Linked DNA regions of Xenopus tropicalis. The protein of the gene in region 4 purifies or fractionates together with the protein of the main gene of each other region. This does not show direct contact. Links are inferred from orthologs where the notes say so. Each region holds a gene or a part of one and is shown on either strand. Other genes may lie near its edges.

Region 1 (8,053 bases), on a different chromosome or scaffold from region 4:
TGTAAAACGAGAACAAAAGAAAGATCTAGTGCTTATACATGCGCCCATAGTGTTTATTTCCTGACTGCCCTTTTTAAGGCATTTAAAGAAAAGAAAAATATATGATGGACCAAATAAATCTCAGACTCTGTACATGAAGGTGTCATAGTATGGCTCATGCATGATTTCATGAATATGATGAAAAAAGAAATATATAATATTATTATATATACCTTTTTTGTCCCGGTAGTTTATAAGTACACCGTATAAGTGTATATTATAAGCACACCATAGACTGTATGCGATGTTGCTAGGTTACTGAGAATGGAATATTATTGCAGAAATAAGCATGGCCACATCCATAGTAATGTAAAAGAGTCTACAGGCATCCAAAGAAAGTTTGAAGATACAGCTGCCTTTCCCTTTTCAGTGTAGGAGTATCAGGCAAGCCCATAGACCGCCATGGTCAAGGCGATCTTAATCGCTTAGCGATGCAGGCCTAAGGGTTCTGAATATATCTCCAGCCAAGGAGGAATCAAGAACCTCTGCTTAGGGAGGTAATGCAAGAAGTTATGGTAGAACATTCAATCCCACCACCAAGAAGACTTTCCTACAGAGTCATCAACAAAGATAAGACCCCCCGGAAAGGCTAGCTTGGCATTAAATAAAGATTAATCCTATTGCATCTCTGAGTTCACTTTATCCTGAAATATATACAGATTGTTTGTCGCTGCGATGGCAATGATATTCTCAGTGGGGTGCCAGGCTGTGTGCAAGATCTTCTTGGTAAAGTCTAAGCTGTCCACGCTAATGTCATCCTTCCGCCTCTTGCCCCCGACACATACCCTGCGGGGCTTGAGGATGGCCCGGGGCTTGCTGCTTTCCCGCGAGGCTTCCAGGGTTACATCTCTTTTTGTGTTTCGGTCAAACATGCGGAAGAAGTTGTTGTACGCCCCTGTCATGATGACGCTGCAAACAAAAAAGGCACACATATCTATGTTGTATTTCTCCCAGTTTCTGGTGGCAAATAAGTGGCAAAAAAAGTGGATGAAAAGGTTAGTACAATTATAACTCCAATAGTCAGCAAGTGACAGATCTGGTATTGGGCCCTGCCATCACTACCCAGTCACTGTCCTATTGGATTCTGCTTCCCAGCACAATATGTACCGCTCTGCTACAAACTCAAAAGATGGCACCGACCTTTAAAAGGTTAACTATTGGTTTTACCCTTGCAATATTTGGGTCAAAAAACATACAAATAATTTACTTAGGTTTATCAATCACCCAGAATCAGACTGGGCCACCGTGACACTGGGAAAAACCCAGACTCGACCCTTGCCGGCGCTCCCCGGGAAGCCCTTGGGGGGGTTAGGGAGGCTCAACGTGTCCCGGGGTGCAGTGGGGGCCCCTAGGGGGTGCAGGGGATGGGGCCGGTGGGGGCACATGCAGGGCCCTCGGGTTGGCAGCTCCAGTGGGCCCTGCATCCCCCAGTCCGAACCTGCAATCACTACCGCTAGGTGTCTGATAATCTGGAGAAGGAAACATCTAAGGATTAGTGAATGTAGGACTCTAAAGTGGCTATGTAATAAAGAGCAGGAGCAGTAACCCATAGCATCAGCAGTACTGGTCACCTGTTTAAAAGCAAACATCTCATTGGTTGCTATGAGTTACTGCTACAGGGCAAACAGTGCCATTTATTACATATGGGGGTAAGAATGGTACCAGCAACAATTTCAAACAGCCCCCTGGTACAATATGTCTATCTCCTACAGAGCCACACATCGTACAGGTAAACTGGAAACCTGATAATGTATTTCACGCCCCAGCCCCCTATGCTGTCTCTTTGCAGTTCACTATCCTGAAACAATCTCAGTTTACAATAATAAAAGTTTTTTTTCCAAACACAGTTGGTGACTTACCTGTCCGAACCATTCCATGCGCATTCAAACTTGTCGAAAATACAGTCATTCTCATACAGGGAACATAACTTGCTTCGAAGATAATCGTGGACCTGCAAGCACAAAACCACAACTGCTGGTCACTTTCCGAACATGAAGTAGTCGAGGACGTTGTCAGGAGAAAGAAAGATGGGTTATCTGTAACCTGTGCATTTTCTCCTTTTTTCCAGCTTGAAACAGACATTCCCCCTGCTATAGAGTTCCAGAGGTGTCCAAGACAGAAAATAAGCTGTCACCCTAAATGGCCCTCAGGAGTCACCCTCCCATTACTTTGGACTCAGCGATAGCTGAGTTCTATATCACCACACTGGCCAGAACTACAGTAGTTTAAACAAAACCAATGTACAGATGTGTAGGTAGAACGTGCATGTTTCAGACAAGCAGTCCCTAGACTCCTTATAAGTCCTTTAAGTCTCCTCTTGCCTTGCCAAATGCTAAAGGCAGGGGGATAGAGAGCCAGGGGGCTGTGATCAGTGATAGAGTAGAATGGAGGTGAATACAGTGGAGAACAGTAACAGCAGCTTCCTTGCATACTGGCGGAACACTGCGGATAATCTCCTTTATCATTGAGCCAAGGTAGGAAGACAGATATAGACAGTAATCTTCCTTGTTATCTTCCTCTCTTGCTCGGCCTACTGACGTCTCCTCCACCTACTGTCCCTTAGCTATCCCAAGCCCGGAGTCCAGCCTAGCAATTACAGATATAAAGCTAAAGATTAAATAAATGTATTTTTCCCAAATCCACTTTGTGACATGATGTCCATTGTACCATAGAAATGCTTCAACTCTCCTACAGAATGTCTGGCCTCCTTTCAGCTCTCCCCGCTATCAAAAAGAACCACAAGGACAGTTCGCAAGCTGGTCATGAGCGAGGATTAGTGACCTTTATAACTATATTGTGCTGGGGAGACGGTGAGGTGGGGTCAGTCAATTACTGGGTGAATGCTGACACATCAAGGGTTACTGGGGGTCATTGTCAAAAAAATCCTCAACACTCTAGCCAGTGTTTAATAAATTGTTTTTGATATGTCAATATGATCTACCAAGTGCAGAGTGTAGTGTCTCTTAATTCTGTGGAATTTGTCCACAATAAAATTTATTACTAAGGTGCCATTTGGTCCTCAGTGTTGGAGGACAATCAACAATAAGTCATTGGTGCCTCTAATACTTTTCCAGTTTCCCAGACTGTGCACTTGTACCCCCTATGGTGGTCCCGAGCAGTGGGTGGGTGCCCATTAGGGAGAAATTTGTGCTTATTTACTTTTAGTGATGTACCTGAAAGCCAAGTGGTGGGATTGAACAATTAGGCACTATCAGAACGATAACTGTTTTATACGACTGTAAACTGGCTACTGGGGGCCAGACCAAATATCGGAAAGAATGGGCTTGAACTCTAGGGGGGGAATTCACAAAAGTGGAGAGAGCCCTTTTTTGGAGTAACAGTGGTGGAAAAACTGGTGAAAAACACTTTCTCCAGAGTCACAAACAGAAATCCGCCTAAATTCCGACTCAACCGCCACTTTTCCGTTTTTGGTGAAAGAAAGACAGTTTACAGACACTTTTGTGAATTTGTCGTTTAAACAACATTTTAACAACATTTTTTTCAAAATGGAGTAAAGCTCAGTGTAACTCTGTCAAACCAATTCTAAGCTCTTCTGTTTTGTTTGGTTTCACCCAGTCTCCATTTCACACCTAAGGTAGGAGCCCCATTAGGGGATCGTTAACATATTAATGGGGATTAGCAGCCTATTGTTAGGGGACAAGTTTCTGTCTAACCCTAGAACAATAGGTGCAAAAAGCCTCATTAACATTTTATAAACAAGTAAAACACTGATTAAAAAAAGTTTAATTTATATCTTATATATATAAAAAGTTTTTACCTCACATTTGCATGATTATGAATATATTGTAAATGTTTTTAATAAAAGGAAAATTAAAGTTTCCCAGTGCCCCCTCTTTAATCACTTCACTGACATTTGCCCCAACTTTTCTGTGCCCCCATAGCATGTCCACAACGACAGAGCTGCTTAACAGCATTGGCCCCCACCTGTTCCCAGCAGCCATCTTGGGGATCAGCAAACAGCACATTCACACCGGCACCCACACTGGGATATTGGGGTACAGGGTTGGACTGGCCCAACAGGGCATTGGATAAAAACCCAGTGGGCCCTAGTCCTGTTGGACCTCTATTCACTGGGCATGTTGGTGTGGGGGCCGGATTGCTGCTGCCCATTAATGAGTAGGGGCTAGAGAAGACGGTATTTAGACCCTTAAATCTTGTAACAGAAGTGGAATTACACAGAAATATAGGAAACATTAGAAAGCCCGGCTTGTCCTAAAAAAAATGATGTATAGTTTCCCTGGGCAAACTAAAATTACCCCTCAGGAAATTCCCCCAAAGTGAAATGGCATATGAAATGCAAAATCCTGCTGGTAAAATCCTTATCCCAAGGCTCCTGTAGCTGTGGGACTGGGTTTGGGGGCACCGACAGATTTACCAAGAGCTAAAGGCAAATTCATAAAAAAAATGTCTGTAAAATGACAAAATCTGAAAACTGTCTGTTTAAAAGACAAATTCACAAAAGTGGAGATAGAGGTTTGTGAATACGGTGGGAAATCCGACAAATCTATCTCCACTTTTATTTTGTCTCAATATCACCACTTTTATGAATTTTCACCTAGGAGTCAGTGTTATGATGAATACTAAATATTATTCCAAAATAAAACCATAGGTGCGTTTGAAAAAAAGATCAGATGATCCAGTGAAGGGAACCAGCCAACCATGAAAAGGAGTTTCCAGTTAGCTGCAACATGGAGGGAAAATCCAGTCCTTGTATCATCATATCACCCCATGTAAATACCTGTTCCTCTCAAACAGCAGCTGTGCTTAACTATCACCAGCCCCAATACCACAAATACAGAATTCCGGAAATGAAGCGTTTTACCTGGTACGTTTCCAGGGGCTTGGTTTCCATGTTTAGATCCCATACTTTGACAGTGAGGTAATCCCGCGTGAGCATGTAGCGTCCACTGTGGCTGAACTTGACATCTGAGACTGAGGAGATGATCTCTGAAAAAAATGATCTGTTGCTTGGGTCTTCTGGTTCTTCATAAACTGTAAATACAAGCATGGTGGCACAGGGTGTTATATGGGTCAACTGAAAGTAGAGTTATTCTCCCTCTCGCACCTAGAGTGTCCAAGGGAGGTCACAAAACTTCCATATAAGAATGTAAGATGAAAAAAACAATAAATAGCAGAACTGGTGGCCAACACAGGAGATAAATACAGTGAATTAAATGTACTCAACTTCCCATATGGAAGGCACATACAGTCGGTTGAAAATTTGTTTACTGAGAAAAGAAATGTCTTCTGATGTTGCTCTGCTTAGCTCTGATACACTAGATCAGTGCTGTCCAACTGGTGGCCCACGGCCGCATGCGGCCAACGACCCCCCTCTGTGTGGCCCCCCACCTGTCTGGCTGCTTTGATGGCTTACCTTTGAGTAAGCATTAAATGGTATCAGTACTGAGATTAACTGGCCCCCTGCATGGTTCTCACCTCTGATTCAGGCTGTAATCCCTCTGTATTGTTTAAAAATGTAATCCCCTGTGTTTTTCACACCTTTTAATACCTGCATTGTTCACCCCCTGCAGTGTTCACACCTCAGGCTCAGACTGTAATCACCCACATTGTTCACTTCTTCACACCTCAGACACAGGTACTGTAGGCAGAGTATGGCACATACAGCCAGCATAGGGCAGGTAGAGTATGGCACACACAGGCAGCATAGGTCAGGGAGAGTATGGCACACACAGGAAGGGTAGGGCAGGCAGAGTATGGCATACACAGTCAGGGTAGGGCAGGCAGAGTATGGCACACGCAGGCAGAGTATGGCACACAGAGGCAGCATAGGGAAGGCAGAGTATGGCACACACAGGCAGGGTAGGACAGGCAGAGTATGGCACACACAGACAGCATAGGACAGGCAGAGTGCTGCCTGTGTGTGCCATACTCTGCTTGCCCTATGCTGCTTGTGGGAGGTGAACCTGGCAGGGGTTTGTTGTGGGAGTTTGTTAGCAGTTGGTCCCAAAGGTGTGTAATTATGTACTGGGGGTTGCTCTGCTATCCACAGGGGAGGAGGAGGCATATGGAATTTAAGGGTATATCTTAATATGACATAATTCTTTCACATATGAATGATGGTTGATATCCCCACAGTAAGGACCAAGCATTTGGGATTTTGCTGTGCTACCACCATTGTGATAAAATAGGTGTGGTTTGAAGTGGGTGTGGTTTCAAAAAGGGGAGTGGTCAAAATTGGCTTCCATTAGCGGCCCTTCACCATGTATGCTAGAGAAATTCCGGCCCTCGGCACCGTAGAAGTTGGACAGCACTGCACTAGATGACTCTTTTCTGCTCCCTAACTTCAGATCGGGAGTAAATTAATTTTCAGCAGCTAGTTAGCACTGCCACCTGACCAGTAAACATTATGCTCAATGCCAATGTTATTAATGGGGAAGAAATATAAAAATATAGGAAAGGTGGCTGATCCTACAGACTTTACTGGCCAGCAAACATCTGACCTGGAGTAAACCTTGCAACTGTTAGACACATTTCCCAAATACTTGTTACTCCATATTGTACAAACATAGAGAGGGGTAATGTACTGTTTTATGTAACCAATAAAAAGTGGGCTCCAAGCTTTAAGGCCTACCCTTCTTTTCTTCCATGACAAAGACTAAGGAGAGCTCTTGCATGGTTGACTTGCTTCCCTCATAGATCAACTGCAGCTCGAGATTCTCACCATGCGATCCTCAGCTTTCTAAACCTGTTTCAGCTTAATGCTCTCCATACACAAAGCAATATGGCTAGGAAGTTAAGTCAGTTTTGGAGGAACTGCCACTGTGTCCACCCCCAAGAAACCCCGTTCTGTCAAACCATCTTTTGTTTTAATCAGATTATGTTCCTGGAGGGCATTTAGCCTTCTGATATCTCCCATTGGTATGTGCTTGGGTCTCATCATCCAACCCAAATGTGATAGGGGCTGTGTATCCCTATTACTTGCATTAATATGTTCTCTTTCAGCACATTAAGCAAATAAATTTAATTGGACTATATATATTAACGACAAATTGTCCACAGTGTCCTCAGACAGGCCACAGAGCTAGAAGTCAGATTTATAATGGAATGAGTTTATTATCACCCTTAAATTAATATCAACAAATTAAGTGAATTGCTGTATGGGAACGGGATCATGATTTCCCAGCATGAATGACATGGTGACCTTTAGGTTAGGAGCCCCAGCTATCGTCGTGTATATGATATAGGGGAAACGCAAGATGCTTTATAATGTGACCGTGCCAGCTATCTGCCTAACGAGGTTCATTATTCTGAAACGTCTCCCTCTTCGTTATACCGGCATGTTGGCATGCCCGCGGGAGAAACAACATAATCAAGTCTTTGTTCTCATTTGTCACCTCTATTCTCCTTCTAGACAAGGTACGCCCAGGTATCATCCATCATAGCGGAGTTAATTTGCGCCGTGCCTGTGCCGTTTATAGTTTGCCGTAGGTGCGAGCCTTTGCACCTGAATATGACTGTTCCCTTTGCCTACGCTGTATAGTTAACGATGGACTGTATTCTCCCTCCCTGTGCTAAAAATACAGCCGTGGCTTTACTCACTGTCAAACATTCAACGAAGTGTCAAAATCACATTTTATAAAATCCTCCTTAATTTGTAACATTCTGGCAGTTTCCATGCCCGCAGCTCGCAGTTTGTCTGAAGCGCAGCAGGTAATTACCGTGTCCCCATCTCTCACACTCTCTCGTCGACTCTCTTTAAGTCTGTGTGTCACTGATGGGAGGAATTCTAGGCTAATTATAGCTTGCTATCAATGTAAAAATAGGCAGGAAATGGGCAATTGGCATCATCTGCAGAATATTCTGTGCCACCGCTGGTCGTGTAATGCCGCCTAAAAAAAGCTTTATGGAGATTTTATCTAAAGATAAAGATCTCAGCTGGCAATTCATTTCTCCTCTTCCCAATGGGAGCAGTTTAGCTGCAGTGGATCGCTCCTCTTTTATATATCAGGCTACTTATATTATTATCATATAT
Region 2 (8,053 bases), on a different chromosome or scaffold from region 4:
CACCTATGTAGAGGATATCTGACTAGTCAACTTAGGTGACAGAAAATAGTCCAGTTTGACTACATGGTGACTAGTGATGTGCAGGCCGGCCTGAAACCTGGCAGAACAGTCTGTAGGTTTACCTGTGGGCCAGAGGGTTCCTGCTGACATCCACACATTCTTTGTGGGGCCAGAGCCCCGATCTGTGACCTTACCATGCCCCAGTTCTGCTTCAGTCAGCCTGTATTAATAGTCTCGCGCCCTCTCCCCACCCACACAGAGATGGATGGGTCGAGTGTGAGTCTATGAATACCAGTAGCTCACCAGTTCAGGTGTGGGTGGGTTAAGGTCAGGTGGGGATCAACTTTTCATTCAGATAAGGAATCTTTCCTTAATTTGGATCTCCATATCTTAAAGGGGACATATTATGTGACAATTAATATTGTGCCAATAAATTGTACTCATATGAATATTGAAGGAATTTGTTTAAAAAGTAGTGTTTTTGGCTGATTTATTAAAAATTTCTCCAAAAACTCCACTAGTCCCACCATCTGTTCGCTTCCTGCTGCATCCTTTCCCAGGCTGTGCCGGGGGGGCGGCAGTACACTGCACTGTAGGATAGGAACCAATTAGCTGCTAGGCTGACCTGATAGGAAACTGAATCCTGCCTTTGCTTGTGTGACTGCACAAGACTTCAGGTTTTTTTTATCCTATGTGTCTTCTTTAGGTAGACTAAAATAATTTAAACATGAAAAAAACTCAGTAGGACTGTTTTGCCTCCAGTAAGGAATAATGATATTTTAGTTGGAATCATGTACAAGGTACTGTTTTATTATTACAGAGAAAAAGTATATCGGTTTTAAAAATAAGAATTATTTGATTAAAATTGAGTGTACAGGAGATGGCCTTCTTGTAATTCGGAGCTTTCTGGATAATGGGTTTCCAGACAACATCCCATGTCTGTATAAGTAAAACACCGCTCCAGACTCCTGCGGCAGTGTCACATACAGTTTTGACTAATAGCCTATGATTACAGGTGGGATTGCCCAAAATATGTTGGCCCATTGTGACGCTAACAGGAGCCTCATGTTTTTAATGAGAGAAAATAAAGGTTTTATATTTAAATTGACACAGTGCTGGTGCTTAGCTCTCCTCTTCTCATTTTAGCTTATTGCCATAAGTACCCATACACCTTTGGCTTCTCTGCCAAACCAACCATTTTGGTGACGTGCATTGGTTGATCATATTATATGTTTGGGTAGAAACCTGTGAGAAGCCACAATAAGGTGCTTCTTGAGAAAGTAGAAATCATTTTCCCCTTATATTATAGCGTCGGCAACTGATAGAACTGAAAGTCCTCAATTGCATTTTTGTTCACCCCAGATATATAGATATTGTCCTTGGGCAGGAGGCAAGAGCCATAGAAATTCCCTGCAAGGTGACATTGTGATGGCCCTGATAGATACAGTATTGTTTGGAAAGAGTGCGCTGTTACCTTACTGAAAGCAGTCATGTACAAAGGTTGTTTTCATGCACTGAAAGGAATTTATCTTCCCTGCAGACAAAACTATAAAATTGTGGAAAATAAGTGAGCGAGACAAACGAGTTGAAGGCTACAACTTAAAGGACGATGACGGCAGGCTGCGGGATCCATTTAGAATTACATCTTTACGGGTAAGTTTTGGGGGAAACAGAGTTATGAAGAAAGATAATTAGAAGGGTACAGCCACTACATTATCTATGGGCATAGGCTATTCTGGGCGAGCAGGGAAGTATTTAGTTCTGGTGCCCCTGTAGGTACTGGAGATAACTACACCCCCAGACAGCGCAATTCCCCCCCCCCCCCCCCATAGCTCCCAACAGATTTCCCCTGGTGGCTACTGGCGAGGGTTTTTATTTTTTCATTCTTTTAACTTAATTGATTATATAGGCACCAAGGACCTTTCCCCTAAGGCTGCCACCCTAGGCACAGGCCCTTGGGTGCCTATATACAAATACAGGCCTGCACACAAGCTGAAGTGGAAGGGAGTTGACTGTGAGAACTGGTAGTAGAGCCCTATGATGTGTAGTGACCATAGTAGTAGAGCCTTTACCAAGCCTTGTTTACAGCTACAAGATGTGCTGTAGCAATTGTGCCCATTTTATTCTTGCTGTTATTTCTTCATTTCTTGCCAAGGTTCCCTTTAACCACTTTGCATGTATTCTCATTTCAGGTGCCAATCCTAAAACCCATGGACCTAATGGTGGAAGCAAGTCCACGACGGATATTTGCAAATGCGCACACATATCATATAAACTCAATTTCCGTAAATAGCGATCATGAAACTTACCTTTCAGCAGATGACCTGAGAATTAATTTATGGCATTTAGAAATTACAGATAGAAGTTTTAGTATCCTTTGCTTACCATCAGCGTTGAAAAATTTACGTCAGTATGGCACTGGCAAATAGAAATATATTCCTGGAGATTCTCCTTACTGTTTATTTTTCCTAGATGTTGGGCTAAATATATGTTATGTTTTATATTATTACTGTCTCATACTATCAGTGAATTTATATAAGGATTTTCATATTGGGAAATTAATTTTTATGGGGAGTGCAGTCTACTGTATGTCGGGGCATGGAGCCTACTATATGTTCATAGCCAGCTATAGAGGTACCTGCTAGTTTTCATCCTATGGGATACAAGCCTAGACACAAAATGGTTCTAGTTAAGCATGAACTATATTGTGTAACTGAGCTTTCTGCTCCCATCTTTTGGTCTTTTTGTTTTCTACCCCCATGTGTAATAAACGGCACTAAGTTTGCCCAGGAGCAGTAACCCATGGCAGCCAATAAGATGTTTGCTTTTAAATAGGTGACCAGAAAATTCTTCCTGCTGATTGGTTGCTATGGGCTACTGCTCCTGGGCAACTTAGTGCCTATCCTTACATAGCCCCCATAATTCTATTCGATTGTTAGAAAAACCTTAACTGCCTTTCCAGACATTGTAGATATTAAGCCTGCTAACATGGAGGAGCTGACAGAAGTCATAACGGCTGCAGAATTCCATCCCCATCATTGTAACGTGTTTGTCTACAGCAGTAGCAAAGGAACAATTAGACTTTGTGACATGCGAGACTCCGCGCTCTGTGATAGACATTCAAAATGTAAGTTCCAGAATTCACCAGGTCACATGTCTGACGAAGGGGCTTCCCCCTAAACATTACATGGTTTGCACTAAATAAACACGCAGGGTTTATCCCACTCACGATTGCCCTGTTGTGCCAGTGTCTAAGTTACAGGTATAGGACCTGTTATCCAGAATGCTCAGGACCTGGAGTTTTCCAGATATGTTTTCCGTAATTTGGATCTCCATAACTTAAGTGTGCTAAAAATCATTGAAACATGAAAAAACCCAATAGGATTGTTATGCCTTCAATAAGGATTCATTATATCTTAGTTGGGATCCAGTATAAGGTACTGTTTTATCATCAATTTTAAAAATTAGAATTATTTGCTTATAATGGAGTCTATGGGAGATGGCCTTCCCGTAATTCTGAACTTTGTGGAAAACAGGTTTCCGGATAACGGATCCTATACCTGTACTATGTACTAACAGCCAAGAGCCATGTTGTACACCTGTGGTTAATGACCATTTACAGCATGTCATATTTATTGCCAAGGTGAAAAAGTGCCTTTATTATAGTACAGGTATGGGATCCCTTGTGCAGAAATCCATTATTCAGAAAGCTCCGAATTACGGAAAGCCCTTCTCCCATAGACTCTATTTTAATCAAATAATTCAGAATTTTAAAACTGATTTTCTTTTTCTCTGTAATAATAAAACAGTACCTGTACTTGATCCCAACTAAGATATAATTACCCCTTATTGGGGGCAGAACAGTCCTATTGGGTTTATTTAATGGTTAAATGATTCCCTTTTCTCTGTAATAATAAAACAGTACCTTGTACTTGATCCCAACTAAGATATAATTACCCCTTATTGGGGGCAGAACAGCCCTATTGGGTTTATTTAATGGTTAAATGATTTCCCTTTTCTCTGTAATAATAAAACAGTACCTGTACTTGATCCCAACTAAGATATAATTACCCCTTATTGGGGGCAGAACAGCCCTATTGGGTTTATTTCATGGTTAAATGATTCCCTTTTCTCTGTAATAATAAAACAGTACCTGTACTTGATCCCAACTAAGATATAATTACCCCTTATTGGGGGCAGAACAGCCCTATTGGGTTTATTTAATGGTTAAATGATTTCCCTTTTCTCTGTAATAATAAAACAGTACCTGTACTTGATCCCAACTAAGATATAATTACCCCTTATTGGGGGCAGAACAGCCCTATTGGGTTTATTTAATGGTTAAACGATTCCCTTTTCTCTGTAATAATAAAACAGTACCTGTACTTGATCCCAACTAAGATATAATTACCCCTTATTGGGGGCAGAACAGCCCTATTGGGTTTATTTCATGGTTAAATGATTCCCTTTTCTCTGTAATAATAAAACAGTACCTGTACTTGATCCCAACTAAGATATAATTACCCCTTATTGGGGGTAAAACAATCCTATTGGGTTTAATGTTTTATTGATTTTTTAGCAGACTTACGGTATGGAGATCCAAAGTTCCCTTATCCGGAATACCCTTGGTCCTGAGCATTCTGGATAAAGGGGTCTTATACACCAGTACTGTGCCTCACTATGGATAGTGCTATATACTTATAAAGGTGGCCACATACAGGCAGAGTTAAGCTGCCAATTTGGATCTGCCCATGTATGGGGCCCTCCGACAGGCCTCCCTAAACAATATCTGGCCAGAAATTGGCCAATGTTGATTGCACAGTCTTGATTTTTCTGTCTGATCAAAGACCACATTGCCTCATTGATGTAGTCCTCGCTACGACTTGTGCAATAGCACAATATTGCCCACCCAAGGCGGGCATATCGAGGGAAAGTTTCTTACCATGTATGGCCACCTTAAGTCTGTCTACCCAGTGGCATTCAGTGTTGTATTGCTAAGCACTGTGCTCCAAGTTGCTGAACTACATGGCACTGCATGAAGTATAGTTCTGCAAATCTCTAGAGACAGAAGTCAAAAGTGGGTTTTTATCTATGTTACCTGTATGTACAGGGTTGCTGGGAGTTATGATGTAGACAGCTGGAGGCCCACAAGATTGTCCTTTAGAGGTCTCTTTGCTACTAAACGTTCATGTACGAATGTAGAAAACTCCTGAGTATTGTATTGTATGTTCTCATTGTGAATATGGTAACTAGTATTAAAAAAAAAAAAATGCTGCAGACTGGGTAAAGGTTTATGATCAGAACCTGTTTATCGAATATTTTTGTTGTCCTTCTTAGTTTTTGAGGAACCAGAAGACCCCAGCAGCCGGTCGTTTTTCTCCGAAATAATTTCCTCAATATCAGACGTCAAGTTCAGCAACAGCGGCCGTTACATGATGACTAGAGATTACCTGTCTGTAAAGGTGTGGGACCTTAATATGGAAAGCCGGCCAGTAGAAACCTATCAGGTCAGTGCGCCATCAGTTGTGTCTTTTTAACCTTTGATCCCATCTAATTCTGGTTTGTTTAGACTTATTTTGAGTTTTAATGTTTTTTCTCTTTTATTGAACATCAGGTTCATGAATACCTACGTAGCAAGCTGTGTTCTCTGTATGAAAACGACTGCATTTTTGACAAGTTTGAATGCTGTTGGAATGGATCAGACAGGTAAGAGTTAACTCTGACCAGATAGTCCGATAGGTGTCCTTTTAAATGGATTGGTCACCTTCAAATTAAATACTGTCATGATTTTTATGGTATACTTTTTATTTATAAATTACACTACCATTTAATATTTTATTCTTGAACCAACAAATGTATATTTAGCTGTAATATTGGTGTGTAGGCGCCATCTCAGTGCATTGTGCCTGAGTCTGAGCTTTCAGCCAGCGCTACACATTAGAACTGCTTTCAGCTAACCTATTGTTTCTCCTACTCCCATGTAACTGGAGAGTCCCAAGCTGGACTTGGATTTCTTACTATTGAGTGCTATTCTGATACCTACTGGGAGCTGCTATATTGCTCCCTTCCCATTGTTCTGCTGATCGGCTGCTGGGAGGGGGGGGGGGATATCACTCCAACTTGCAGCGCAGCAGTAAAGTGTGACTGAAGTTTATCAGAGCACATGGCTGTGGCACCCTGGGAAATGAATATGGCTAGCCCCATGTGAAATTTCAAAATTAAATATAAAAATTACCTGTTTGGATTTCAATGCAGGATTCTTCTAGAGAAGCTCATTTATTATGATGTAGACATTGCTATTCTGAAACAATTTGCCATTGGTCTTCATTATGTTTGTGATGAGTTATTTAGCTTTTTGTTCAGCAGCTATCTGGTTGTTTGGGGGTCTCAATTACCCTAGCAACCAGGTATTGGTCTGAATGAGAAACTATCATATGAATAGGAGTGGGCCTGAATAGAAAGATAGGTAATTAAAAGTATCAGTATAATTGTAGCCTCAAAGCATTTTTATTTTTTTTTAATGTATATTTATTGTAATATGTTGTCGCTGTGTATATAATAATTGAACCCAACTGTGTGTGTGATTTCTCCGCAGTGCAATTATGACCGGTTCCTACAACAACTTCTTCAGAATGTTTGACCGCAACACGCGCCGGGACATCACACTGGAAGCCTCTAGGGAAAGCAGCAAACCACGTGCCATCTTAAAGCCGCGCAAAGTCTGTACGGGCGGCAAGAGGAAGAAGGACGAAATCAACGTCGACAGCTTAGACTTCAACAAAAAGATCCTCCACACAGCGTGGCACCCTACAGACAACATCATCGCTGTCGCCGCCACCAATAATTTGTATATATTCCAGGACAAAGTTAACTAAAAGAAAAATGGCATTATTACTTTGTTTTTTTTTGTTTTGTTTTTGAGGACAAAGTCTTGTTCTTGCATAGTTAAGCCTAGTTGTTTATCTGTAAGAGATCAGGCCTCCTTGTCCTCCTCCCAAAACCAACATGGATGCACTTCCCTTTAATAGAAACACACAGAGAGAGAGCTGGATTGTCATGGTAAGAGGTCTGGCCTCCCCGTAAGGGGGGGGAAAGGCACAAGGTTCCCCCAAAAACAAAACGTCAGAAGTGATGAACATCTCCCAGAAGCCTGAGCCTTCCTTTCCCACATTTTGACCAAAAAAACGGGGATAAAATCGTAAAATGTGATTGTGATTTTTTTTTTATACTGAATTAAATTTGACACCATTTTCTTTCTGCTGTTCTCTTTGGGCCTCTGAGAACATACACTGTGTTATGCCTGTAACATTCCTCCTCTGGCCTTTATTTGGGCAAAGTGTTTTTTTTTAATTTATATAATCCGAGCACTTAGCTAGAACTCCTCAGGTCAGCTGACCTTTTCCCATGTCTATTTACTGGCTGTACTAATGGCAGTGCCACCTGCTGGAACCACTAAATAAGAAACAAAATAAACATTTACAAAAGTGTTTTTTAGATCTGACCAGAATTCATTGGAATTTCCCCTAAAATGTTCTTTCTTATCGCATGTTCCTGAGCCGCGAGCGGTTCTATGAAATGATACCAAGATCAAATCTTCAAAACGGTTCTCTGAAATAGGACTTTGGTCTCCATGAGCTTAAAAAAAAAATGAAAAACCTACAGGGATTTTGCACAGTATTATGGGATATTTTAGCTAGACAACTTACGGACTATACCTTTTGTGCATTATATTTTTTTACTATTTTTTTTTTTTTTTAATTTCCATTTTGCATGCCATCCGCCATTGTTGCACTTCAAGCCCCTCCCCCCCCAGATCTGTCTTTAAAAAATTTCGTTATGCCAAACTGTTTAGCGTTGGAAGAATGTACAGTGAACAAATAGGTTTAACCTTCGTGCATCCGCTTGACACTAATTAGTCCGGTTCCCTAGAGCTCGCGTAGTCGCCACCCTGAGTCGCGGGAAGCGCAGACTCGTGCCAAGTGGATTTTGTGCCTCCCCTGGCGACGAACAGAGGCCCCCGACCCGCTCTGTTTTAGCCAAGAACTCGATGGTC
Region 3 (8,053 bases), on a different chromosome or scaffold from region 4:
TTTATGGGGTACTTTTTACTTCTAAATGCAAATAATTCCCTCTGCCATTCATCATTTTATTCTTGAACCAACAAATGTATTTGTAGCTGTAATATTGGTGTGTAGGCGCCATCTCAGTGCCTTGTGCCTGAGTCTGAGCTTTCAGCCAGCGCTACACATTAGAACTGCTTTCAGCTAACCTATTGTTTCTCCTACTCCCATGTAACTGGAGGAGTCCCAAGCCGGACTTGGATTTCTTACTATTGAGTGCTATTCTGATACCTACTGGGAGCTGCTATCTTGCTCCCTTCCCATTGTTCTGCTGATTGGCTGCTGGGGGTGAGGGGGGTGATATCACTCCAACTTGCAGCGCAGCAGTAAAGTGTGCCTGAGTCTGAGCTTTCAGAAGGAGCCAGCACTACACATTAGAACTGCTTTCAGCTAACCTATTGTTTCTCCTACTCCCATGTAACTGGAGGAGTCCCAAGCCGGACTTGGATTTCTTACTATTGAGTGCTATTCTGATACCTACTGGGAGCTGCTATCTTGCTCCCTTCCCATTGTTCTGCTGATCGGCTGCTAGGGGTGAGGGGGGGGGGATATCACTCCAACTTGCAGCACAGCAGTAAAGTGTGACTGAAGTTTATCAGAGCACAGGTCACATGGCTGTGGCACCCTGGGAAATGAAGAATATGGCTAGCCCCATGCGAAATGTTAAAATTAAATATAAAAAAAAATCCTATAAAGCAGGATTCTGCTGGAGAAGCTCGTTTAACTGATGGGTTTTGAAAAAAACATGTCTTTGTTGCCCTGCACTGGTAAAGGTTGTGTATTTGCTTCAAAAACCCTAAAGATTATATAAATAAGCTGCCATGTACAAAACTATTACCAGTGCAGGGCAATAGTACATTATATTATATGTTTTAAATACTTTGATACAATTTTATTTCTTGGTGTTACTGTTCCTTTCAACTAAATAACATAAAAACTTATAGGAATAAAAAATGGATGAAAAGTGAAAAGTTGCCCTTGACATTCTAAAAGCATGAAAAGCCTTCCCACTATGTTTAGTGATTCTGTTAGAATTGATGTTGCAATATAGATGATTGTTTCCCACAGTTCAAAAGGCAGAGTATCTGGTTCCCCACTGCTGCCTCAGGCATTTGTACCAAACTGACAGTGCTGTGGAACATCTTGGTGCATTAATAACAATAATACTGGTGTAGAAATCCAATTGGTCTTTAGCTACACTCTCCTCTGGGCAGCAGGAGCCAATCAGATGCAAGTATTTATGGTGTGACATCACTGAGACGTAATGTATACTTGCTTCCCATTTGCTCCCACAGCATGGCTGGCAACCCTAGTGATTTTTGCAGCATAACAGCAGTAAGGGCCCATAATGTATTCCTCCTACACTACAGTTCTACCCTGAAGGGTTACTAAACACAGGAACTTTTGTGAACGTTTGGAACTTGTAGGCCACAATGGAGAGTTAAAATGTGTGTTTTGGCAACCCACGCCTAAACATATGGCTCTGCTGTGGGACAAAAATAGCTCTTGGGATAAATATTCTATTATATTCTCCCAGTACGAAAACACGTTCATCCAATAACAATGTTCTGCCTCTGTAGCCTGTACGATATCTGTCACTATTTAAACTTTACAGAAATGTATGATGTGATATTTGACCTTTAATAAAAGGAAAATCGTAAGCAAATATTTTACACCTACCTGTGTCCCATGAAACCATGCATTGGGAAAAGCCACCTTTTATACACTGGCACAGTTAAAGGGAAGGATAACACTGCACCAGAGAAATATAGAAGGTATGTGGGGAAGAGACCAAACGCTATAGAAGCACCTTTAATCCCCCAAGCAATAGAAAGTAACTGAATCAAATACACTACACACTTTGTCATACGCCCCATTTACCTGTTGTCCAAGGTGGGTCCTATTTTCTGCAGAGACTTTGCCACATTAAAGCGCACGTTGGCCACAGCATCCCCGGCCATTCGGACAACTGTAGGGAGCATATGCTTGGTGGTGATCTCTTGTCCACAAACCTCAGACAGAACCTGCAGGAGGCAATGAACAAATCCATTACATTCTGACACATCTGCACCCTGACATTTACACTAGTGAATTCAGCAGGACCATCTAGGCTATGATGGCAGTAACAAGTGGGGAGTCACCAGTGATTACCCCCAATTTGCACACACAGCCAATAAAATGCCTTCGACAGTCTGTTATTAACTGGGTAAATAATCCTCACAGCCTTTTGCTTACTGGGTAAGAACCTCACATAAAAGCACATGTTTATGCTTTGATAAGAACATTGGTTTAAATGCCACGTGGGCTATTAGCCATACAGCAACACTGTACACACTGATCAAAGAAGGGAACAGAGATCACTAGGCATTTTCTAACCACCACATAGCCATAATTAAACTGCCAAACTATTGCACCAGACAAATAGTAACTGTGTGTGGCTTCATGTCTAAGTATATAATACATCAGGGGGTACATAAAGCCTTTTATATTCTGCGCTTTCGGCTACTTGGTAGGAAAGCCGGCACCTGTATTGTATAAAATTCTAGGAGTATGACCCCCACCACCCAGCCCTTGTAACATACTTATATTAGAAGCCACTTACATTGATGCAGAACAAGGTGGTCATCCTATGTAGGTAGTTGGGATCGTTAGACATTGCCAGGACCTTGGGGATAATGGTGGCCTGAGCCCAGTCTTTGCCAAACTTCTCCACCAGCTTCTTCAGGTTGCTTGTTGCTGCCTCTCGGATGGCATACACTGCAAGGAGAAACAAGTAAAAGCTTAAAGGAGAACTTAAGCCTAACTAAAGAAGGATAGAAATGCTGTACATTATGTTTTGTGCTTCTGTACCAGCCCAAGGCACCCACAGGCCTTTAGCAGGGAGGATCTGTGCCACCAAAGATGCCCCCAATCTTATTTTCTGCTGATTCCCTGAACATGCTCTGTGCTACTGTCACTTACCTGAGCCTAGGGACCCGCTCACACTATACTGTATATACAGAATATAAATGTCACAATATAAGGCTGACTAGTAGTTAATACATGGCAGCTCAGAAACCAGTGCAATTAGCATCAGAATGTAATAATCAGCCCTGTAGCATCACCTTATATGACAGACCAACCTCGTTTTCTGCTTGATAACTTGCAACTACCCCTAAACTCGGCTTCTCAACAGCTGCCCAGAGCCCACTGAGCATGTGCAGTGTCGCAGACACTTTACAAGATGGGGAGCTCCTGTGACAAATTTGAAGTCCTGGATCATTGCTGCTATTGAGATGCTGAAACCTTAAACTTCTGCTATAAGTTCAGAATATAAATAATGGCATTTTTAGCCAGATTCATTCGGGGGGAAGTTCACCTTTAAATGAACTTCTCAGTTCATTCTCAATCTTTGTTTCTGCTTTGTTCAAAGCCGCAAGGGAACTTTCCGAGACAAACAAGGGATATACCGCTATAGAAAGTTCTGTCAGCTTGTAACAGCTACGTAACAGGGGTGACTTATAGTCTGCACACTCCTCCACATTCAAATATGTCACATTCAAATGTCTTCAAATGTCATATGGGTATAAGACAAACAACAGTAATAGTCTAGGTAACGGAAAAGTTAGAGCTGCATCACTTCCTGTCAGCTGATCTCTGAGGGAGCACAAAGCCCATCACTAAATGGTGGCTCAAGGGAAAGGATGTAAAAGGGCAATATTTACTGATATATATATTCCAGTTTGGCGAGATTCTTTAATGGGCCACTAAACATAATATAAACTATCTGTTGGTTACGTATTCATTATGGGGGTATAGTTTTCCTTTAAGAAACAAAATACCTGAAATGATGTCTTTTTTGGGATTCTGAGCTTCCGTTGCCTGCACTACTGATCACTTGGGCAGCAAAATGCCTAAAATAACACTGTGTGCCACTGCCCTAGAGCAATGGTAACCAAAACATAGACTGCAAACGTACAATTGATATTGAGCCAGATAATAAGAAAATCACAACCTATTAAGGCTATACTCAATGCTTTGGTTTTGCCAAATGCTTTGTGAAGAAAAAGGGTCAAAACATATTAGTCTTTACATTTTACCCTTCATCATCAAGAGAAAAGTAAACTAATATGTTTTAACTTAAGCCATAACTTCTAAATATGAATATGTTAGGAGATTGTGCAGATAAAATGAATACAGGTGAGTGCAGTAGATTTGTAAATAGTGATAAATCCTTACCGTGATCCACGAGCCAGGCCATGCACAGAGAGTTTAACTTTTCATCAAAGAACTCCACTCCCTGCAAAAGAACAAAATCATATTACTGTATAAACAGCAGCACACTCTAGTGGCCAAAACTGATAATACAGACTTTATCAGTGATTCAGATCTGGAAGAGGAGATATAACAATTAAGAAACAGGCCAATTTAGGCATGAGTCATTTCCTACGCTGGCCCCCAATATATACTTCAAAAAGTATGAATAAATACCATTTGTATATGCTGAAATCCAGCTGCAAAACAGTGCTTCTCTTTCTGCATCATTTGGAATCCTGACAGGGGAGGAGGGACTAAAACAATGATGTCGCTAATAGTAACAACTTCTCCCCAGCTTACAGACAGCATGCAGGAACTACATAACCCACAATACATTGCACTGTGATGTTCCTTTCCTTATTGGCATCACGTGTGCAGGGAATTGTGGGATTGGGAGGAGGCAGGCTGAAGGCAGGCTGAGGACAGGCGACTACTGTTACATTTTATTTGAGTCACAGAGTAGTCAGCCAGATCAGCAGGGGAACAGGGGGCGGGGCTTAGGGAACTGTTCCAAATCATATTATTACATTAAAAGTCATGAAAAGGCTGCATATTATTTAATTGATGTATAGTGCAAAGTTGCTTGAAATTACCGTTACTTTTGAAAAAGGTGTTTGGGTGGAGTTCCCCTTTAAGCATTCCAGAACAATGCAGGCAAAATAGGTTAATTAGCTCCTACCAAAGCCATCCAGATTGTGTGGCTGTTTCTCATCCCTTTATTTGTAGCTCCGACAGTAATATACTTCTTTTGTTCTGAACTATAGACAAAGCTCTGTGGTTGGACCAACACTAAGAGGTGCACTTACCAGCTGTCCGGCAAGTAGGGGCATGTATTCGATAATTGCCAGCCGCACTCGCCATTTGGCATCTTCTGCCAGTTCTACAATGGCAGGAAGCAGTGACTGTGAGAGTTGCCTGATCCCAATAACCTCATTCACACAGTCCAGGTTTGAGATGATATTCAGCCGCACTTCTGGACACTGAAAAATAGAAAAACCTTAGCTTTTAAAATTTGCCTGCAAAAAGAGTTTATTTATAGACTCCACGCTCCACACTTAGACACAGCCACTCAATATTAATGGAGAAGGAATGGTAAAAACTCAGTAAGCTTTATCAGAAAGGTCTGTGTAAATACAGCCATAGTGCAGTGTTTCTGTAAGCGCTTGAGTCCTCTATCAAAAGAAACACAGGATTTCTGGTCTCCTGTTTTGGGAACATGTTCTTTGGTATCAGACTTCCTATCTTTTAGGGTTCCTTCAGGTTTGGGCCTTGAGTCTGCCGAGTTCTTCTCCTCTCCCCTCCCCCCTCCCATAAGAATACATACAAACTCACTTCCCCCACCCTTAGGAACGTGTGATCTGAGCTTCCAACAACTATAACTGCAGCAGAAAGCTACCAAGACCAAGCTAAAATGGCAGCTGCTATCGGAGGGAGCTTCTAGGGCTCTTTACTCAAGTATAGTAAAGCTTTCTGCTGAATAAATATAGCGTTCTAGGTGGCACTAATGTGACAAATCTATTGGCAGTAAAATGCCAAAATGACTTTCCTTCTCCTATAAACTTGGAAAAAGAAGGATAGGAGGATACGTAGATGTAAGAAGCAATGGGAAATGGCATCAACACTAGTAGTGATGCGCGGGTCGAAAAAAAAACAACCTGCACCACACGCTAACCTGTGCAGCCCGCCGAGCTGCATCCATTTATATACCCACGCCTGCCCCGCCTCTGACTTCATGAAGGGGGCGGGGAGAGGCAGGGACACAGTTAGGTCACGGGTGGGGATGGTGGTAAGAAGAGCTCCGCCCATCCACACATCACTAAATAACAGGGCTCATTTTAAAGTTATTTTCTTCTCCCAGTCTGATGTCCCACGCAGAGATTAGTCACCCGTGATAGATCTTTTGCTACCGTGGGCACCTAATCTTTCCAAAATGCCTTTCTACCAGCAACAAAGATAATCGCTGATCGGGCAAAGTTGCCTGCAGAATGGCAAGAAAACTCCAGTCTACTAGCAACTGTCAGAATAGATAACCACTCGTGTAAATGCAGCAAATGCCCTTTTGTCATTTTAGCCTTAAAGGCCAAGTTGACAGTTACTGTTGCTACAGATTACAGCCCAGTATGAGTGACCTTGCCCGAATGTAATCATGTCAATGTAAATTCCTCTTGGTGACAAGGCCATACACTGGCCCAGGCTTTTGTAATATTAAAACGCAACATCAACCAGATCCTTGTACTAATTGTACAATATACATAAGCTAAAATATTTTGATTGGATCTCTCTGTAAAGGTTATAAGTGCATTTATACAGCTGCACCCACAGTTAGTTCAGAGGAATACACACGGTGGAATAGTTTCTGCCAATAAACAAAGCTGGATATTCAGAAGATGATATTATATAAAGGATATCATCCAAAAAACATGAATCTACAAGGAAATAAATGTAGGAAACTTAGGCAATAGTAAGTGAGAAACCACAGGCTGGAAGGCATTCCTAGAGAAAGATACTTGGGAAAGTGATTCAACTCTTTCTGCAGTTAATAAAGCCCTCACTAAATCAGCTTTCCAACCGCATTATGGCTAAATGCTAAGCCGAGCGAGTCTCACACCGGCACTTACTCATTCAGTTTATTGTGGAATTATACAAACTGTCCTCTATATAAATAATATAAATGCACTGCCAATGGGACGAAGGATTTGGCAACACTAGGAATGAATTTGGATACCAGAATTGAATCCTGGCAGCCATCTGCACATTTTAGCTGGAAAATGAAGCCTGAAATTTGACTCAAATGCAATTTAACCACTATTTAAAAACTGAAACCACAAACAAATGAATTTAGAGTTGGTATACACAATCAAGTTATCTTTCTGATCAAGCATGTTTTATTATCGGTTGCATATTTCCCCAGCTCTCATGTGGCTCAGTAATCCCCACCCTTGCTTACCTGCAGTAAGGGCCATACTTACTATATAGGCACCTAAAGGCCTGTGCCTAGGGGGCTGGACTCAGGTCCCTATATGGTAAAAAATTTACAATAAAACCCAGCCTGCTGTCAGATACATGTGCCTTTATCCAGCAGCTGACGTGAGGGAGGAGGAGTTATTAATCATTCCTCTGTGCAATACAACAGGACTGTTCATGCATTTGTCAATTGCTGATGGAAGAGGGTGGGCTGTGAACTGTGCCTAGTAGTGATGTGTGGGTGGAGAAAAACTGGACCCGCACCCGACCACTCTGAACCCAAACCCTACCCGATGCGGTTTCTGCCCCGCCCTGCAATGATGTCACAAAGGGGGAGTGGCATGGTAGGTGCACGCCTAGAAATACAGAAGCCGGTAGTGGCAGCCAGCAGTGTTATGTCGCGGGCAGGGAGGGCAAGCAGAAGAGCTCAATCCAAACCTTCCTGTGACCCGCAAGTGATGTGCCAAGGTTGGCCTGAACCCACGCGACCCACGGGTCCTGCGGGTACTGGGCCAGCCCACCCACTGCCACTGCCTAGGGCAGCACCCACCAGACCTAAATACAACCCTGCCTGCAGTGCTTAGAGAACAGAAATTCTCCTTGCAAATGCACTCCCTTCCCTTTCATGTAGCTAAAGAAACAGCCAGAAAAACTAAACGAAAAACAGCAGTTGGTCAGGAGAACCGTTAGGGGTGTGACACACGGGGAGATTAGTCCTTGCACAACAAATCTCCCTTGTTGCGGGCGACCAATCTCCCCAGAA
Region 4 (8,595 bases):
GTAATTTGAATCTCCTACCTTAAGTCTACAAAAAAAAATTATTTCAACAGTATTTAAACCCAATAGGATTGTTTTGCCCCAATAAGGGGTAATTATATCTTAGTTGGGATCAAGTACAGGTACTGTTTTATTATTACAGAGAAAAGGGAATCATTTAACCATTAAATAAACCCAATAGGGCTGTTCTGCCCCCAATAAGGGGTAATTATATCTTAGTTGGGATCAAGTACAGGTACTGTTTTATTATTACAGAGAAAAGGGAATCATTTAACCATTAAATAAGCCCAATAGGGCTGTTCTGCCCCAATAAGGGGTAATTATATCTTAGTTGGGATCAAGTACAGGTACTGTTTTATTATTACAGAGAAAAGGGAATCATTTAACCATTAAATAAACCCAATAGGGCTGTTCTGCCCCCAATAAGGGGTAATTATATCTTAGTTGGGATCAAGTACAGGTACTGTTTTATTATTACAGAGAAAAGGGAATTATTTAACCATTAAATAAACCCAATAGGGCTGTTCTGCCCCAATAAGGGGTAATTATATCTTAGTTGGGATCAAGTACAGGTACTGTTTTATTATTACAGAGAAAAGGGAATCATTTAACCATTAAATAAACCCAACAGGGATGTTCTGCCCCAATAAGGGGTAATTATATCTTAGTTGGGTTTCCGGATAAGGGGTCCGATACCTGTATTCCCTTTTGCACAGTACAGTAACACAAGCAGACAGCTGAGAGCCTACTAAGCAATGCTGCAGGCAGTGGTGCCTTCATGTAATGCGCCCCCTATGGCTGGGCCTCAGCAAGTGCCTGACATGCCATAATAAATTACTTTGAATTTGCTTCTTTTAATTAAAGTCTATGAGCTGCCTCACAAGTGACCATATCTGAAGTGCAAGGAATGTGTAAATGGGTTGAACCCTGGGCTGCAAGTCCCAGTCTCTCTGCATGGATTCTGTACTGTCAGCAATAAACTCCAAAAACATCCCATTGATTCTGTGGGTTTACTCAGGCAGGCCACTAGGTGTCACTGTTCTTACCCCTTTCCTTGCCAGGGATTTATCATTGTCCTTTAAATACCTTTTCCTCCTCCAACATTGCTTTCAAGAACCAGGAATCTAGAAAATGAAAGCAAATGGTTTATCTGAAGAAATAAAAAAACATGATTTTTACTGATCAAAACAACCAAAAAGTGTAGTATGTCCAACACAAGCCCTATAACAAGCATACACTAGAGCTTCCAAGCAGATTCATTTTGAGGGGGTAAAAGGCATTAAACTCTAGTGAAACAGCGCCCCCTGCGGCAAAATAATTATGTTAATAGTATCATGTGTCAGAAAAATGTAAACATGACTGTTTATTTTATCTAATCTATCTATCTATCATCTATTCTGTCAATCTGTCCATCTATCTATCTATCTATCTATCTATCTATCTATCTATCATCTATCCTGTTAATCTATTATCTATATATTCTGTCAATCTATCAACTATCTATCATCTATCTATCATCTATCCTGTTAATCTATTATCTATATATTCTGTCAATCTATCTATCAACTATCTATCTTATCTATCTATCTATCTATCTATCTATCTATCTATCTATCTGTCTATCTATCATCTATCTATCTATCTATCTATCTATCTATCTATCATCTATCCTGTTAATCTATTATCTATATATTCTGTCAATCTATCTATCAACTATCTATCTTATCTATTTATCTATCTATCTATCTATCTATCTATCTATCTATCTATCATCTATCTTAACTATCTATCTATCAACTATCTATCTATCTATCTATCTATCTATCTATCATCTATCTATCTATTTATCCATCTATCTATTTATCTATCTATCAACTATCTATTTATCTATCTATCTATCTATCTATCTATTTATCTATCAACTATCTAATCTATCTATCATCTATATATTCTGTCAATCAATCTATCATCTATCTATCTATCTATCTATCTATCTATCATCAACTATCTATCTATCTATCTATCATCAACTATCTATCTATCTATCTATCTATCTATCAACTATCTATCTATCTATCATCTATCTATCTATCTATCTATCTATCTATCATCAACTATCTATCTATCTATCTATCTATCTATCTATCTATCTATCAACTATCTATCTATCTATCAACTATCTATCTATCTATCTATCTATTTATCTATCAACTATCTAATCTATCTATCATCTATATATTCTGTCAATCAATCTATCATCTATCTATCTATCTATCATCAACTATCTATCTATCTATCTATCTATCTATCTATCTATCTATCATCAACTATCTATCTATCTATCTATCTATCTATCTATCAACTATCTATCTATCATCTATCTATCTATCTATCTATCTATCTATCTATCTATCATCAACTATCTATCTATCTATCTATCATCAACTATCTATCTATCTATCTATCTATCTATCTATCTATCTATCTATCAACTATCTATCTATCTATCAACTATCTATCTATCTATCTATCTATCTATCTATCTATCTATCAACTATCTATCTATCTATCTATCTATCTATCAATCAACTATCTATCTATCAACTATCTATCTGTCTGTCTGTCTGTCTGTCTATCTATCTATCTATCTATCTATCTATCATCTATCTATCTATCTATCTATCTATCTATCTATCTATCTATCTAACCATATACTATATGTATAAATATACACAGGCACACACACATATATATGTTTATACCATACAGTGTGACCCCAATTGCAGGACTGGTCAGAGTGCTGTCCCTTTAAGCAGTGCAGCAGCAGGAGTCGCGGCCAGCCGGAGTCGCAGCGGGCAGTTGGAGTCGCAGGGCCGGTGGGAGGGGGCAGAGAGGGAGCGCAGACAGGCGCTTGTCACATTCCCTCCCTCACCCCCGGGGCAGGCTGGCGAGTCTCCTGTGCGATCCGGAGGGAAATGTAGAACAGGACGGACCGGTTTCGCTCTCAGCCCCGCACTCTCCCTGCCTGTTGGGAGCCTCTCCGAGCAGCTCTGAGCCGGGGGAACCTCTGCCTTACTCCGCTACAGCAGCCCGGGAACCTCTGTACAGCGACACTGCCCGGGAATCGCACCTCTGCTCTCCTGTACAGCGACACTGCCCTGGAATCGCACATCTGCTAACCTATACAGCGACACTGCCCGGGAATCGCACCTCTGCTATCCTATACAGCGACACTGCCCGGGAATCGCACCTCTGCTATCCTATACAGCGACACTGCCCGGGAATCGCACCTCTGCTATCCTATACAGCGACACTGCCCGGGAATCGCACCTCTGCTCTCCTGTACAGCGACACTGCCCTGGAATCGCACATCTGCTAACCTATACAGCGACACTGCCCGGGAATCGCACCTCTGCTATCCTATACAGCGACACTGCCCGGGAATCGCACCTCTGCTATCCTATACAGCGACACTGCCCGGGAATCGCACCTCTGCTATCCTATACAGCGACACTGCCCGGGAATCGCACCTCTGCTCTCCTGTACAGCGACACTGCCCTGGAATCGCACATCTGCTAACCTATACAGCGACACTGCCCGGGAATCGCACCTCTGCTATCCTGTACAGCGACACTGCCGCGGAATCGCTGTCAACCTGTGTTGCGACTGTGCGGCGACTTGTCTCCTAGCTGGCGCGGTGACCCTGCGGGACGCAGTACCGGGAGTAAGGCGCAAGGTAGGGGCATTTATTGGGGAGTTGGGCTTTACATGGTTATATGTACACATGTGGGGGCACCTCTCCCCCCCCCCAAGCCGCTGTAGAACTAGCGATGTGGGTGCAAGGGATGGGCGCACCTTGGCCATTGACTTATATTGCCCCTGTTTGTGGTTTAGAAAAAAAGTTGCCCCTCATGCCCCAGGGTTATGCCCCAATGTGCCCTTATTATAAAACTTAGTGCCAATCTATTTCCCTAGTGGGGCCCCTAATACTGTATTGAGGGTTCTGTAAGGGCCCAATGGGGCTCTCAGGGGATTCTGGGAGTAGGAACGCATTGGAATGGTACAGGCTGATCAAACACACATTACTGTGGGGAAAGTCTGGTATAGATTTGGCACAATCTCATAAACCCCCCCCAGGAAGTTTTGTTTTGGGGGGGGGTCAATATGTTGGGCAAACAACGTATTATTGGGGTGCAACTAAAGAGCAAGGAGACTCTTGGGTGTCCAGAAGGTATAGGGTGCCCAGCGCGGGACTGACAGAAGCAGTTTGTGTGACTTGGGGCCCTACAGTGGTATATCTGTGGGGCCCAATAATGTGTAGTTGTATCCTGTAACCCCCAGCCGGGCACAGGGCACCCACAGAAACTTATTATACACCCTATGAGGTTTTGGGCACTTGGTGTCTTTGTAAATACTGGCAGTGCCAGTCTGTGCCCCCTGTACTTGTGCCCAGTGTACCCCCCCCCGGCACAGGCCAAGGCACTAGGGTGCCACAGAGAGTGTCAGCAGGCAGTGAAGGGGTTACGCGCAGCTTCTTGGGGATCTGGCTGCTGTTTGGAATAGTAATTGTCTGTTAAGGGAACCATATGACTGTAGCAGCAGGGGATCATGTCTGTGCCTGTGAGATCAGGTCAGAAAACAGCCGCGGGCAAACAGACAGTTTCAGTCTGTTCCCAGCAAGAATGTACGTGCGCTGCCAGCGGGGTCACTGTGGGTCGGGCACAGAGGGCTGTATGGGGCACAGAGGGCTGGATGGGGCACGGAGGGCTGGATGGGTCAGGGGCATGGAGGGCTGTATGGGGCACGCAGGGCTGGCTGGGGTACGGAGGGCTGTATGGGGCACGGAGGTCTGGATGGGGCACGGAGGGCTGTATGGGGTACGGAGGGCTGTATGGGGTACGGAGGGCTGTATGGGGCACGGAGAGCTGTATGGGGCACGGAGGGCTGTATGGGGCACGGAGAGCTGTATGGGGCACGGAGGTCTGGATGGGGCACGGAGGGCTGTATGGGGCACGGAGGGCTGTATGGGGCACGGAGGGCTGTATGGGGCACGGAGGGCTGTTTGGGGCACGGAGGGCTGTATGGGGCACGGAGGGCTGTATGGGGCACGGAGGGCTGTATGGGGCACGGAGGGCTGTATGGGGCACGGAGGGCTGGATAGGGCACGGAGGGCTGTATGGGGCACGGAGGGCTGTATGGGGCACGGAGGTCTGGATAGGGCACGGAGGGCTGTATGGGGCACGGAGGGCTGTATGGGGCACGGAGGGCTGTATGGGGCACGGAGGGCTGTATGGGGCACGGAGGTCTGGATGGGGCACGGAGGGCTGGATAGGGCACGGAGGGCTGTATGGGGCACGGAGGGCTGTATGGGGCACGGAGGGCTGTATGGGGCACGGAGGTCTGGATGGGGCACGGAGGGCTGGATAGGGCACGGAGGGCTGTATGGGGCACGGAGGGCTGTATGGGGCACGGAGGGCTGTATGGGGCACGGAGGTCTGGATGGGGCAGGGGCACGGAGGTCTGGATGGGGCAGGGGCACGGAGGGCTGGATGGGGCAGGGGCACGGAGGGCTGGATGGGGCAGGGGCACGGAGGGCTGGATTGGGCAGGGGCACGGAGGGCTGGATGGGGCACGGAGGTCTGGATGGGGCAGGGGCACAGAGGGCTGGATAGGGCAGGGGCACGGAGGGCTGGATGGGGCAGGGGCACGGAGGGCTGGATGGGGCAGGGGCACGGAGGGCTGGATGGGGCAGGGGCACGGAGGGCTGGATGGGGCACGAAGGGCTGGATGGGGCAGGGGCACGGAGGGCTGGATGGGGCAGGGGCACAGAGGGCTGGATAGGGCAGGGGCACGGAGGGCTGGATGGGGCAGGGGCACGGAGGGCTGGATGGGGCAGGGGCACGGAGGGCTGGATGGGGCACGAAGGGCTGGATGGGGCAGGGGCACGGAGGGCTGGATGGGGCAGGGGCACGGAGGGCTGAATGGGGCAGGGGCACGGAGGGCTGGATGGGGCAGGGGCACGGAGGGCTGAATGGGGCAGGGGCACGGAGGGCTGGATGGGGCAGGGGCACGGAGGGCTGAATGGGGCAGGGGCACGGAGGGCTGAATGGGGCAGGGGCACGGAGGGCTGGATGGGGCAGGGGCACGGAGGGCTGGATGGGGCAGGGGCACGGAGGGCTGAATGGGGCAGGGGCACGGAGGGCTGAATGGGGCAGGGGCACGGAGGGCTGGATGGGGCAGGGGCGCGGAGGGCTGAATGGGGCAGGGGCACGGAGGGCTGGATGGGGCACGGAGGGCTGGAAGGGGCAGGGGCACGGAGGGCTGGATGGGGCAGGGGCACGGTTATACCTGTTTGCTGCTGGGAGCTTTAGGAATGTAAGGAGCACAATGGGAATAGTGCCTGAGCGTGTCCCTGCACATCAGCCTGGGGCCGCCTTGTCTAAACCCCCTGCACTTTATAACTTGCCCTTATGGAAGGGGCAGGCAGAGCTGGGGGCTCTTGTTAACGCTCTCCGTGCTGCTGATTGCACAAATCCATCCTTAGGATTAGGGTTAAGGGATAGGGGTGTCGGGGTATCATTTATAGAGTAGCGCTTTCCAACATGTGGCCTGTGTAGCAGTTGTTGAGTTGCAACTCCCTGACCCCCAGGCTGCTGCCTTATTGATAAATGTGTGTATATAACCATGGTAACACTCATGTCTAATGCACACCTACAGCGTGAGTGGGGGGGGGGGGGCATGTTAAGAACAGCTAAAGAAGAATTAACCCCCTCCCAAACAGAATATATGCAGTAAATGTTGAACAACACCTGGTATTTGTGGACTGTCAGTTTGTTGCTATGGGCACTATGTCTTGGCTTTGGTGCAGATCAGTTGGGGTTATTGTGAGACAAATGGGCATCATGGCATAGCAATGTATTAAACCTAATGGGATCACCTGGATTTGGCACTTACCTAGAGCTCTGTTTGTAACTTGCTTCACCCAGTCAGAGTGTAAGCTCTTGGGTGCATCTCCACCCTGGTACTGTCCTAATTCTCAGTGGTCAAATGCATTAACTTCTCTTGTGTATTGTGGCAGCTCTCCCTTGTGTGCCTGTACCCTACGTGGATTGTAAAGGTGCAGAGCGGACCCCACGTTCATGGAGAGGCTTGGGGGGGCCAAGACCACAGGGTCTGCTACCTCTATAGCTATAAGAAATCCCCCCTCTCATACCGCTCTCTGCGTAAAGGGCCAGAGAGGGGTTACCCAAGCGGGTGAATGGGTGGAGGGAGGGCCAGGTAGGTGTTTACTGTGGCCTGCCAAAGATTCTTGTGCAGGGGGGCTCGGCACCACATTGTTACCCCACAAGCTCAATGCTATAATTGTATAAGAGATTTCTCTTATGTCAGGGGCTTTCTTTGGATTATAAAGGCGCAAGGCATTGCTCCTAAGCGTATCGGCTCTCCCTCCCGTGTCTGTACCCTACATGGATGGTAAGGCGCATCGGATAGGTGCCCATCCGTCCATTTAAGGGATAAATACACAGGAGCCAAGTAACTGGTTCACTCCCACAGGCAGATGGGCCAGATATTAGGGCAGCTGGCCCACATACACCCGTGGCTAGTTTGCTCTGATGCAGAGAATAAGCCCCCCAGGCCAATCTGGAGAGAAGGAGCCAGTCTGCACTATGGAAAAACTACTTGTGTCTAAACTTGTTCCTTTGCAGCTTGCATAAAGCGCCAGTGTGCCTGCCCAGCCTCCTCTGATGGATGCATGCCAGCGGTGCAACATTTAGGGCCCTCGGGGGCCCAGGCCCCACTCTGTGAACATTTTTTTCTAAGCCCCCCCACCCTGGCTGGCCAAACTCATGGGTAACCCACAGCGCTCCCCTATAGTTACACCAAAATGCACGCTATTATGCCCATGGGCACTGCCAGCAGCCTGAGCCCAGAGATTCCTGTATACACACCCCCTTTTGCCCATGCTGCTATGTGTATGGGTATATCCTTTCAGCCAATGACAGTGTTCCTTTAATAAGCCCAATAGCTTGAGCAGAACGCGGGAACGCCATTAGTAGGTGAACACAGGCGGCCAATTTTTTTATTCCCATCATGGCGCCATGCCAGAATTATTTTTTTCCTTCCTCTTAATAAATAATGGCCATAAGCCCCGTTAGTGTTACAGGCCCATATGTTAGAGAGATCTGGCGCGGGGGAGAGATCCCCGGGAGTGGGCGCACGTGTTTTACAGAGGAACCCCAAGGTGCTGGTATTTTAGCTGCAAATCTCCCCGGCGCAGCTCTATAAATAAGCACTCGGCCTGCTGGGGAGGGAGGGGGGTTTTTTAAGGCGATTCATTAAGAATTTGGACTTACGCAGCCAGGAATAAGCAGGAAGATCGGCTTCGCTTATTTTATTGGGAATGGGGGCGATAGGCCTGGGTATTGCTTGTGCCTGTGTCTGTGAGATGTAAATGGCACAGCAAGCTGCTATTCTGCTCCCCTGGGGTACCCCCTGGTATCCCACAAAATACCCCCAAGGTGGAAAAAGGGGTAATTCTTCAACTTTGTAGGTGGTCTGCAGTTCTGCCTCACCCCCCCCCCTATTCCCAGCAACACA

What was found.
Region 1: the proteins of sertad4 (region 4) and ppp2r2c purify together in Homo sapiens (affinity purification with mass spectrometry; 3 studies listed by BioGRID and IntAct, counting the BioPlex papers as one, with this or other methods). This does not show direct contact. The link is inferred for Xenopus tropicalis from reciprocal best matches to the Homo sapiens genes SERTAD4 and PPP2R2C.
Region 2: the proteins of sertad4 (region 4) and ppp2r2d purify together in Homo sapiens (affinity purification with mass spectrometry; 3 studies listed by BioGRID and IntAct, counting the BioPlex papers as one, with this or other methods). This does not show direct contact. The link is inferred for Xenopus tropicalis from reciprocal best matches to the Homo sapiens genes SERTAD4 and PPP2R2D.
Region 3: the proteins of sertad4 (region 4) and ppp2r1a purify together in Homo sapiens (affinity purification with mass spectrometry; 3 studies listed by BioGRID and IntAct, counting the BioPlex papers as one, with this or other methods). This does not show direct contact. The link is inferred for Xenopus tropicalis from reciprocal best matches to the Homo sapiens genes SERTAD4 and PPP2R1A.

What each region holds. Positions count from the first base shown.
Region 1 is NC_030677.2:25,466,795-25,474,847, reverse strand, and holds part of ppp2r2c (protein phosphatase 2, regulatory subunit B, gamma), read right to left. Parts: intron 5,053-8,053; coding exon 4,883-5,052; intron 1,991-4,882; coding exon 1,899-1,990; intron 949-1,898; coding exon 657-948; 3' UTR 1-656. UniProt on the Homo sapiens protein: The B regulatory subunit might modulate substrate selectivity and catalytic activity, and might also direct the localization of the catalytic enzyme to a particular subcellular compartment.
Region 2 is NC_030683.2:21,319,199-21,327,251, reverse strand, and holds part of ppp2r2d (serine/threonine-protein phosphatase 2A 55 kDa regulatory subunit B delta isoform), read left to right. Parts: intron 1-1,540; coding exon 1,541-1,653; intron 1,654-2,192; coding exon 2,193-2,370; intron 2,371-2,962; coding exon 2,963-3,127; intron 3,128-5,337; coding exon 5,338-5,507; intron 5,508-5,614; coding exon 5,615-5,706; intron 5,707-6,595; coding exon 6,596-6,875; 3' UTR 6,876-8,053. UniProt on the Homo sapiens protein: Substrate-recognition subunit of protein phosphatase 2A (PP2A) that plays a key role in cell cycle by controlling mitosis entry and exit. Involved in chromosome clustering during late mitosis by mediating dephosphorylation of MKI67.
Region 3 is NC_030683.2:120,818,642-120,826,694, forward strand, and holds part of ppp2r1a (serine/threonine-protein phosphatase 2A 65 kDa regulatory subunit A alpha isoform), read right to left. Parts: intron 5,307-8,053; coding exon 5,133-5,306; intron 4,310-5,132; coding exon 4,249-4,309; intron 2,788-4,248; coding exon 2,633-2,787; intron 2,055-2,632; coding exon 1,912-2,054; intron 1-1,911. UniProt on the Homo sapiens protein: The PR65 subunit of protein phosphatase 2A serves as a scaffolding molecule to coordinate the assembly of the catalytic subunit and a variable regulatory B subunit.
Region 4 is NC_030681.2:15,442,628-15,451,222, forward strand, and holds the start of sertad4 (SERTA domain-containing protein 4), read left to right. Parts: upstream 1-2,879; 5' UTR 2,880-3,733; intron 3,734-8,595.